Macaca mulatta: one gene and its partners. The protein of the gene in region 3 purifies or fractionates together with the protein of the main gene of each other region. This does not show direct contact. Links are inferred from orthologs where the notes say so. Each region holds a gene or a part of one and is shown on either strand. Other genes may lie near its edges.

What was found.
Region 1: the proteins of SRPK1 (region 3) and HNRNPC fractionate together in Homo sapiens (co-fractionation; 3 studies listed by BioGRID and IntAct, with this or other methods). This does not show direct contact. The link is inferred for Macaca mulatta from reciprocal best matches to the Homo sapiens genes SRPK1 and HNRNPC.
Region 2: the proteins of SRPK1 (region 3) and DROSHA purify together in Homo sapiens (affinity purification with mass spectrometry; 3 studies listed by BioGRID and IntAct, counting the BioPlex papers as one, with this or other methods). This does not show direct contact. The link is inferred for Macaca mulatta from reciprocal best matches to the Homo sapiens genes SRPK1 and DROSHA.

What each region holds. Positions count from the first base shown.
Region 1 is NC_133412.1:94,116,845-94,120,595, forward strand, and holds the start of HNRNPC (heterogeneous nuclear ribonucleoproteins C1/C2), read right to left. Parts: upstream 2,693-3,751; 5' UTR 2,521-2,692; intron 1,892-2,520; exon of another isoform or gene 1,846-1,891; intron 1-1,845. UniProt on the Homo sapiens protein: Binds pre-mRNA and nucleates the assembly of 40S hnRNP particles. Interacts with poly-U tracts in the 3'-UTR or 5'-UTR of mRNA and modulates the stability and the level of translation of bound mRNA molecules. Single HNRNPC tetramers bind 230-240 nucleotides.
Region 2 is NC_133411.1:32,870,496-32,874,146, reverse strand, and holds part of DROSHA (ribonuclease 3), read left to right. Parts: intron 1-197; coding exon 198-429; intron 430-3,651. UniProt on the Homo sapiens protein: Ribonuclease III double-stranded (ds) RNA-specific endoribonuclease that is involved in the initial step of microRNA (miRNA) biogenesis.
Region 3 is NC_133409.1:146,368,341-146,371,991, reverse strand, and holds part of SRPK1 (SRSF protein kinase 1), read right to left. Parts: intron 3,088-3,651; coding exon 3,000-3,087; intron 1,817-2,999; coding exon 1,729-1,816; intron 1-1,728. UniProt on the Homo sapiens protein: Serine/arginine-rich protein-specific kinase which specifically phosphorylates its substrates at serine residues located in regions rich in arginine/serine dipeptides, known as RS domains and is involved in the phosphorylation of SR splicing factors and the regulation of splicing.

The DNA of each region.
Region 1 (3,751 bases), on a different chromosome or scaffold from region 3:
GACTGAAATAATGTGGTTAAGAATAGTAGTAACTACTACTAATTTAGAAAACTGGGGCCGGGTGCCGTGGCTCACACCTGCGTAATACCAGCATTTTGGGAGGCGGAGGCACGAGGATTGCCTGATCTCAGAAGTGAGACCAGCCTGACCAACACGGTGAAACCCCGTCTCTACTAAAAATATAAAAATCAGCCCGGCGTGGTGGCGCACGCCTGTAATCCCAGCTACTTGGGAAGCTGAGGCAGGAGAATCGCTCAAACCCGGGAGGCAGAGGCTGCAGTGAACCGAGATTGTGCCACTGCACTCCAGCCTGGGGCAACAGTGAGACTCCGTCTCAAAAAAAAAAAAAAAAAAAAAACTGCTTTAAAAAGACTGCATCTGTACAGTTTTTAGTCTTCTGGCAACGAAAAATTTGAATTAGAAACTAAAAATTCAAATAAGTTAAAAAAAAAAAAGTCTAAGTCCTCTTATTTAAGCAAGGAGGATTAAAATCTATTTCTCCTCCTAGGCAAACTTACTCCCTATTCAACACCTCACATTCAACACTTAATATTAAGTTTTAATAATTTGCCCCTTAGTCTTTAAAATTAGAGCAACTAGCTATTTGAGTTTATTCTTTGTGTCGCACTGCCATTCCATCCAAAACAAGGTCGAATGCCATGTCAAATCCTCTAAGAGATTTAATTACAAACGTAAGCTGTTTAAATTCTCCACAGAAGGAACATCAACTACCAAGTATTCCCAAGAGTGGCACACGAATGGGGGGAAAAAAAGGTCAGAAAACCTGCAACCTGGCCATCCTTCAACTTTTCCCCCTAGCCAATACGCTAGCCAATACGAAAATGTTACTAAATGCCTATCCAGTTGAGAACACACCTGGAATTGTGATATAAATGCCGTGGCAAACAGTTCTTGATATTAAAGAATTTTTGGTACGCTGATATACATACTGATCTGATATACATACTGATCGGAAGGAACCCGTATTTCTAACACCTCAAAGGCAAAGAAAAGTGCCTGTCAATCAATTTCAGCTATTATCAACTGTTCTTAAATACTAACTTCTGACATTTCTCATTGCCAACATTTTTACTACATGATTTCCCCATTAATCTATTTTTGCCTTTACCTCATTTCTAACAGTTTAGCACGATGATAAACTTTAGTTTTAAGTTCCTGTAATAATATATTTAAACTTAAAGGGGTCGCGATGTTTTTGACCCTTATTTTACTTCCTATCAAATAGGTTGCCTTACAGATAAATTTCTTACCCGGCAGAATTGGTTTAAACTGTGCTTAACAGCTTTAGTTTTTGTGAAATTAACAGATTGTAAAAAATAACCAAATCTCATGTGAGGATTTAAAAAACCGATTTCCCAGATAAGTGAACGTGACACTAAAGATCTGTAACTTTAACTTACAAGTTTTTTATCAAATTTCAGCACCGAGCAAATAACAGCACTGTTAATATTTGCTTAATAAAATGTAGCTGTGAATTTTTGCCCAAGTTTAGGTGGACGGGAAAATTAACATCAGAATAACCCGAAAGTCAAATTTTGTCATCTTACACTTAGGAAGTTACGTTAACAACAAATTCTCAAGTCTCGTAGTATTTTTCTTAAGCGCAATTTGGGAATTTCCAGTTACCTCGTGGTTTCCGTCATCAGGTTCTTGCAAAGATTCAAATATTGTACTTTTAGAACCCGGTATTCCATTAACCAGGTAAAAACCACTCGACTGACCTCGTGGTCAAATTCCTTAGTAGTTCTGCTACTGACTTAATTATGACCCTAGCAATCAACACTTTGCCTCAGTTTCTGTCTGAGAAAGAGAGTTAATACCTACCTCAAGCAAAGTTCCACTAACTTATATATTTCAAGTGTTTTGTAACCTGCAGATGAAAAGTCAGCTGTAATTATTAATATAGTTATACACAATATTTCCTTTTACAAACGTAAGTGAAAATAACTACTTCGAGCTCCATTATTTGCTCATAGAGAGGAATAAAATAAAAAGTTATCAGTAAAATGCTAAATCTTTTGTTAAACCTTTCTCATAGGCCACGCGGCACGATCCAGGATTTAAAGGCTCGCGATACATCTACTTGGTAACCTTCCCCCTCCCCCTCCCCCAATTTTTACATGTAAGAAGAACCGAGGTAATAGAAGGCATCGGCGCTATGTTAACTTCGACTATATTAATGAACATCGCGATCTTCATTTTCAGGATCCCGGAGTCCTCGCGGTCGTAGAAAATGAAAGGAAAGCAGCCGTTAACACAGGAAGAGCGAAAAAAGGGCATTTTCCCTGGCGATCGTGGCCCAGAGGACACCAGGTTAAACCTACGCAGAGGCTGAGGCCTGTAAAACCGCCTCCCGCTTCAGACCTAATCCCCCAAAACAAACAGAATAAATGAGGGCCCGGTTAGTTAGGGGGAAGGGTTCCCTCATATTCTCTCCCACACCCCCTCTAGCTTCCCAAAAAACCCAGCGCCTTCCCTGCGTCCGCCCTCTCCACTTACCAGGAGGGGGGAGGGAGAAGAGATTCGATTCTGAGTCTCCTACTCCCGGATTCGGCGTGAAGAAACCGACTGCAGGTCGAGGTCGGCAGCGCGGCCACAACCGCTCAGTCTTCGTCTCTTCACAAAATGGCCCCCGAGTCTCCTCTGCCGCCGAGGCGAAGGCCTAGTCCCCGCCCCATCCCTAAGAATCTTCCTATTGGCTGTGTGTTTTTTCGCTCCCGCTCCTAATTAGACAGTTCAACCGCTTCTCACAATGATATCCAGTCACAATTGGCAGTGGGTTAGACTAAGCAGAAGAATTTCCACATGCGTGAGAGAAACTAGTTTGTAACTGGTTAATTTTCCTGTCATTTATCGTCTGGGGAATGTTTATTGGCTATTGCACCGGACGACCCTCTGGGTGGAAACTCGCCTTTGTATCGCGCACCGTCTCACATCCGGGTATCTGGAAGGCCTGATTGGCGGCCGCGGTGTCCTATCGCTGCTCCTTAGAGTGCCTAGTAAAAGGTTCGCTCAGACCTCGGATTTCCGGCGGCGCGGGGGCGGGGAAGGGCTTGAGGGGCGTTGTTAGGTGACGGGCGCAAAGGACTTGCCCTAGCCCCGGGCCTAGGAGAAAAAAAGCGCGAAATGAAGCCTCCGGCGTGCAATATGAATAAAGAAAGAACTTTACTTAAAATGAGGAGGGAGCAGCGGTGACTAGGCCGTGTTAAAGTGTGTAGAAAACTAACCAGCCCTGCCGTTTTTCCAACCCGAGAGCCTTTCTCAGGTCCAGATTCGAATGTCAGCTACCTCGTAGACATCTCTGCTTCTCAGCCTATTAAACCCTTCTTCAGACAACACATATTCCATCCAAACCAACTGACTTCCTTATTCCTCTCCAATATGAAAAGTAAATGAAGTGCAAAATCCCGGCCTCTGGCCCAAGTCATCTCACTAATATCTTAAGTGCCAGTAAAATTGGCCCATCCCTCCGAATCTGCTCCCTTAATTTCCCTCCTCTTAAAATGGCTTGTCTCCTACGTACCCCCGTCACCTGCCAGTCCTTCTGGTTACATTATAGGAACTGCGCACACAGTGGATTAGCATCAGCTCTACTAAGGGAGCCATTTCTTTTTTTTTTTTTTTTCTTTTTTCTTTTCTTTTCTTTTTTTTTTTTGAGGCAGAGTCACTGTCGCCCAGGCTGGAGTGCAACTGCCTCCAGTTGAGGTTGATTGGCGGCCGCGGTGTCCTA
Region 2 (3,651 bases), on a different chromosome or scaffold from region 3:
TTTAAACAAGTAAACTTCAGGTGATTCTGATGCCACCAGACTGGTATTTGGGAATCACTGGTTTAACAAAAGTACACATGGTGATTTGGCATGGTATTCGTATTTTAGGTGAAAAATGCACCAAGTAGGTGAAATAGAATAGTTTTTATAATGGCAGAGTATTTTTAATAATTAATCTCCTTTGCCCTCTTTTGAAGTCGCTCCCCAAGTAGGGAGAAGAAGAGAGCTCGTTGGGAGGAAGAAAAAGACCGATGGAGTGACAACCAGAGCTCTGGCAAAGACAAGAACTATACCTCAATCAAGGAAAAAGAGCCTGAGGAGACCACGCCTGACAAGAATGAGGAGGAGGAAGAAGAACTTCTTAAGCCTGTGTGGATTCGATGCACTCATTCAGAAAACTACTACTCTAGTGACCCCATGGATCAGGTGGTAGGTCCGAAGTAGCAGACAAGCTGTAGACCAGGGTTTCTGTGTGTTGTCACTATTGGCATTTGGGGCTGGATAATTCTTGATTGTGGGGACTGCCCTATGTATTGCAGGATGTTTAGCAGCATCTCTGGGCTCTGCCTATTAGATGCCAGTAGTACCCCTCCCCAGTTGTCTTCAAATATTGCTAAATGTCCCTTGGGGGGAAAGATCACCCCCAGTTGAGAATCACTATTACAGACAAAAGCTGTTTTAAAAAGCGAAAGGCCAAGAGTGCAGTAGGTTAATTAAAGTATCTTTTTACAATGATTTTTTTTTTATTTGAGACGGTCTCGCTCTGCCACCCAGGCTGGAGTGCAGTGGCACGATCGTGGTTCACTGCAGCCTTGATCTTCCAGGCTCAAGTGATTCTCCCACTTCAGCCCTCTGAGTAGCTGGAACTACTGGGACACGAGCCACCGTGACTGGCTTATTTATTTATTTATTTATTTTTTAGTAGAGATGAGGTCATACTGTTGCCCACTCTGGTCTCGAACTCCTGAGCTCAAGCAATCCTCTGGCCTTGGCCTCCCAAAGTGCTGGGATTACAGGTGTGAGTCACTGTGCCCAGCCTATTCTACATTTTTAATGATACTGGTAGTCTTGATACTGGTGGTTTCATAAGGTTTCATGTGTAACTAGTTTATGCAGTTTGTGGTGTGTATGTGTATATGTATGTGTTTTTTTCCTCCAAAATGAGAAATAAGGAAGAATTTGAGTTTGTCTCTTCGAAGTGTATCCTTGACCAAAAGAGCACCAACCCTATGAAGTTGCCCATGCATATCAGCTAGTTTTGCAGAAAGGGAGAGCCATTGTCACCCTTAATGGGCTGGAGGGAGGACTCCTAGAGCATATGCTGCCAGGGCTGGGGTGCCTGTGGTGATACATTGCCATCGCAGACTCCACCACTATCTCTACATGCTCACTTCTCTTTTCTTTCTTCCATCTCCATTTTATTTTCTGTCCCTGTCTCCTTTTTGCTCTCTCTTCCCCTCTTCCTCTCTTCCCCTTAGGCATTATGCCTCCATCCTGTTAGGCATATTTGCCACAGAGTAGGCATGCAGTAATGTTCATTGATTAAATGAATGAGTGGACATCTCTTTCATTTAATCAATGAACTCATGTACAGATTTAGGGCATGAGAAGTTGCAGATGTTAGATTTAGTGCATGGGATTAGGTAAGAGATAAGAGAGGGTTTTGTTTGGAATTTTGTGAAAATAGCTTCTGTTTGGACTCGATCTGTGGGGAACTTGAGATTTCTGTGTTTTTGGAAACAAAGGATTTGAGAAGTCTCTCATAGTGGTGTGATATTTTATTTGATAAATTAGAGCAGGCTTTTAAGTCATAGTTGATGTGGTACAGGGAAGGGAAAGCTCACATACTGTGCGCTTTCACGGTGCCAGAACGTTAGTCCATGCTTCTCATGTTGTCTTAGTTAACCCTGAAAATACCCCTGGCAAGAGGGTCTTTCTGTCAGTTAGAAATGCTGCTGGGAGTAATAACACCTGACTAAGTGGGACTTAAACAAGCTGGATTTGTTCTTCTCATGATAAGGTACCTGGAGGGAGGCCATGGCTGGTGTTCACTGAGTGGCTTAGTGATGGCAGGCCCTGCTGTCTTCCTGAGCATCTTCCACAGTTGCAGGATGATGCAGGACCAGCAGGCCTCAGGTCCTTATACACCTGTGTCCCCACATGCAGGATGCAGAGGGCATGTTGGGTGAGCATTCTTCCAGTGTCTTGCCCAAGCTCTCCTTTCATCCCTTGACTCCCCTTCCATCCCTTTACCAGAGCCATGTGACATGCCTACCCCAGGGATTTGTTTTTCCTTACTGCCATGACAGAATTCCACAAACAGCATGGCTTGAAACCACACACATTTGTCCTCTCACAGCTCGGGAGGCCAGAAGTCCAGCTTGGGTCTCACTGGCTCCATCAGGATGTCAGCAGGTCTGTGTTCCTTTATGGAGGCTCTGGAGAAAATCTGTTTTCTTGCTCATTCAGGTTGCTGGCAGAGTTCAGTTCCTTGTGTCTGGAGGACAGAGGACCTTGTATCCTTGCTGGCTGTAAGGTCAGGGCACTTCTTCGTTCCTCCAGGCCATGTGCATTCCTTGACTTGTGGATCCCTTCCTCTGTCTTCAAAGCCAGTAATGGTGGTTGAGTCCTTCTCATGGTTTAAATATCTCTTGCCTCTTTTTCTGTTACATCTCTGACCCCTGTTGGCAAAGGTTCCCTGCTTTTAAGGGCTCCTGTGCTAAGATTGGGTCCACCCAGCTGCAAGTCCGTTTTGCCATGTAAGTTAACATATATATTTAATTTCTGGGGATTAGGACATGGGCATCTTTGGGAGGGGTGGGTGGCTCAGTCTACCTTCCCAGAGATCAGGAGTTCTCTGCCCCAAATCTGATAGAATACTGCTTCTATTAGGAAGAAGGAAAGAATGGCTGCCATAGGTGTTATTATTCTTAAAACAATAAAGATGAAGACACTGAAGTTCAGGGAGTTTAAACAGGCAGAGCTGGTTGTTTTTTTATTACATATTTATACGAGTATATTAAAACTCCAGTGTAGGAGGAAGACTGATAAACTCAAAAGGCTGACATTTGCCTTTGAGTTTTGTCGTCTGTGGTGCAGAGAAGGTGGTGAGGGATGTCAAAGCTATACCGGCATTGCCACTCTCAACAATGAGATGCGGCCTGAATTATCCCTTCTTCTGGGTACCAGATTTTATGATTTGCCTTAATTTTACATTTGGCAGGTCTGGTTTTTACATTTTAAGGCTACTAAGTCAGAGTGTGGACATGTAAAATGATTTTCAGCCTGGAAAATGAGTGAGGAAAAGTGGAAAATTTCCTCTAGGAATGCTTCGTAGAGTCCCATGTTTGTTCTATGTGTTTGTGTGTGTGTGTGAAAGAGAATGTGTGCATGTTTATATCCTTATGTTTAAGGCATGAGTGTGTGTGTGTGTGAGAGAGAGAGAGAGACAAAGAGGATATATATGATATTCCTTGTTCCTTGTTGGATTAGTATAGGAGAAGACAGATTATCAGTGATTTTTCAGTAGGAAGTGTACATTCCCTAGGAGGGTATTTGGTGTCAGTTGTTACGATTCTCTGAGGTCATGATTTTTAAAAAAAATGTCATGTTAAGAGGGCGTAGATGAACTGTTATAATGTTTCTTTTCTT
Region 3 (3,651 bases):
GAACAAGAATGAAACTCCATCTAAAAAAAAAAAGAAAAAGAAAAGAAAAATATCTTGGAACTTGAAATTCAAACATACTAAGATATTTCAATAGTTAAAAAGCCTTCTTTGCTTAGTTAGGGTCAAATAAAGGTACTCAGCATTACCGGGGAGATTTGAGAGTATTTCTATAGTTTTACTTGGAACTTTCGCAAATTAGTAAAGAAATCTGGCACAATGAAAAACATTACAAGATTAAATAATAGAAAAAACAGATACGGCCATCATGACACCCTGTGTGTGTTTTTTAAAAATTTCTTGGTTAGAATTATTAATTCTTTGAAAACAGAGAGAGAGAGAGAGAGAAAGCCATCTACAAAATGACCACAATAAGCACAAGATACTGTTTTAAGATGGTTGCAGCAGTTTTCCTTAGACATCTGGGGGATCTGTGATTTGTATTTTTCTAAGAAATGACTCAGAATTGACTTTAGAACAATAGTCTTTCCACATTATCAACTGTTTTCTCTCCTTTCCAACTTCCTTCCTGCTTCTCTGTTCAAATCTCTTCCCATAGTCTACATGAAACTACAGTCACATGTAATCCTGTCTCCTTTAAATAAAAAAAGATCAACAGCAATTAGGAATGTGCATTAAAGGAAGCTAAACATGCATGAAAAGTAAAATAATATATGAAATGTCTTTATACATTTTAAGACTAGCTTATAAACAGGTATTTTAGATTCTCCAATCTAAGTAAGATTCGACTTCAACTTTTACTGAAAAATCTGATTGACCTTTATAAGCATAGCTGTTTCAACAACTTTTCAATTAGCCCACCGCACATCACTTTGATACCTGTGAAGAAAATCAGCTACAGTTCCTTCCAATTCTACAATTCTAAAAATCCAGATAAAAACATAAAACAAGTCAGTTTTTCATTATAACAGAACACGAATAATTACACCCTTTTAGACTCTAAACATAATCTACATTCACAGCCTCTTCAAAGTTGAGGCTTAGTATAATAAATACAATCATACTTTAAATTGTTTACCCAGTTTCTTCCTTTCTTTCTCTTTCTCTTTCTTTCTTTTAGACAGTATCTTTTTTTTTTTTTTTTTTTTTAAGACAGAGTCCGGCTCTGTCGCCCAGGCTGGAGTGCAGTGGACTCAATCTCGGCTCACTGCAACCTCTGCCTCCCGGGTTCAAGTGATTCTCCAGCCTCAGCCTGCCCAGTAGCTGGGATTACAGGAGCCTGTCACCACGCCCAGCTAATTCTTGTATTTTAGTAGAAACAGGGTTTCACCATGTTTGCCAGGTGGGTCTCGAATTCCTGACCTCAGGTTATCCACCTGCCTCGGTCTCCCAAAGTGCTGGGATTACAGGTGTGAGCCACCATGCCCAGCCAACACACTATTTTTCATAATAAATTACTTCCCTTAAGGTTTCTGTGCTAACAAAAATCATAGATTCTTTACTTGGTGATACAAGGCATTTTCTAAAAGTTTCTTTGATTTCGGTCTAATTGCCTGAAAAGGGGACAAAAAACTTAAAGCAATATCCTGAAAAATCACACCACACAAAATCAGACAAAATTCAGAGCTGTGTTCAGAAGTGTACAATAAAAGAGGTAATTTTATTATAGTTTGCCTTGAGAAAAGACACCAAGGCCATCTACACAACAAATCTAGTTCCTTTCTTTGGGATTGGGATGATTTATTCTCAAATAGGTTTTTAAAAGGATACGTGTTCCATTAACTCCTGATATTTTAAAGTCATCTAGTAGTTGAACAACCATCTCTCTGTTTGGATCATTAGGGTCTGAATTGCGAACCTGTAGTGGGGAAAAGAGAGTAAAGCATGGAAATAAGCCAAATGGTATGGGAAGAATACTTACAGCAAATTAACTACAAGAAAGAGCTCACATAAATCTATCTTTAAAATATACTAAAATTTCAATAGCTTTAATGGAGAAAAATCTTAGTCAATTCATAAGAGGAAATACAACCAACAGGAACTATTTTTCTAATTTTGCTAAACTATTTTGCTCCCTGATATCAAAGTGTGGCCTCCAAATTAACTGCAGATTACCAGGCTATGAGGAACTAAGCAGCTTTTGCAGGATGCGAATCAACTATAGCACCAACAGCACTGTTTATTTCAGCCAACATTTTTTTTTTCATGGAAAAACTTTCTCAATGAAGAAAACAGTATTTACTTTTGGGTAGGTACAAGGCTCCTAAACTTGTCACAAACGGACATTCTGAAAAGTACTGTCTTAAGCCAGGTGCAGTGGCTTGTGCCTGTAACCCCAGTTACTCTGGAGGCTAATAAGGCAGATCACTTGAGGCCAGGAGTCGAAAATAAGAAAAGTACTGCCATAGAAATCTCCTGGTGCAACATTCTCACTTTATGAATAAAAAATCTAAAACTCAGAAAGAAAAACACGGTAACATGGAGAACATATCGGGGTAAAGGTGACCTAAACCCAGGTTTTCTAATTCTGAGTTTAAGTTCCTTCTACCACAATGGCATATTCCTAATTTAAAACAAAATTAAAAGTACATTTTTTATAGAATTTATCTCAGTTTCCAGGTATAAATGGAATCAGTAAATACAGTATTTTTATATTATGTATTCTATAACATATTTGAAAACAACAAAAAAGATGCTATACATTTATTTACACAACTTTCCTTTTAACCATAGTAGGAAAGAAAAACATTATGACAGTAGTTACCTGGCCTGTAAAACATGCTCAGTGAATATTTTTATTCATTTGAAAGGTTTTTTTTGGTTCATGTGTGTAAGAATTCTAATCATAGCATTTCCCACCAGTTCCCTACTACATGCATGGAATGTGTAAATATTGTTGTCTTCCTTAACCTCTTTAAGGATACTAGAACTTTATAGAGAAAATTATCCATGCTGAGGAGTCTCCACTTGGTGTGCTTTAATTCAATGAAACTTGATATATTTATAATTCTTTGCATTCATACATATAATCTAATACTCACTGACTTCAGCAACCGGATTTCATCGAGTGCTGTTTCGGTGTAATGTTCAGCACTTTTAACTACTTTCATTGCCACAAATTTCTTCCCCCTAAGAAACAAACACAGGCAATTAAGACTACATAGCCTACCCTTACTTTAGGAAGCTAAGGTTTAGCTATAAGATGGTTAAAAAGGACAAATACTGATTTCATGTTTCCCTGTAGCCCAAACAAGCTACTTCTATGGGAACATTTGTACTTGTTAATGATGCTAACTGGCCAGATTTCATTTGTAGGAAGAATAAAAGATCTGTTCTCAGATAATCTCAGTTGTTGAACATTTTCTCTGAGTTAAAATCCTTCTTTTGAATATCTCCCTGAATTTCAAGCAAAACTTCAAAATGAGGATAAATAAGGGGAAAGATATTACCAAATTCCAAGTGTTCTGTGTATCTGTATATAGGCAAAAACTAAAAGGTTAATAGCTGTAATATTTTCCCACAGGCAGCCAGAAGAAATATTTGGGTGAAAAGAAAACGATAAAAATAACAAAAAAATCAAACGACAAAAGCTTTACCAGCATTAATTTAATCACTCTTGTCTCTAAAGTAGAAAGGGAGATATATAATACCGATTCTTCACGAAAGAAAAGTGATTTCTCCAAGAATATAGAG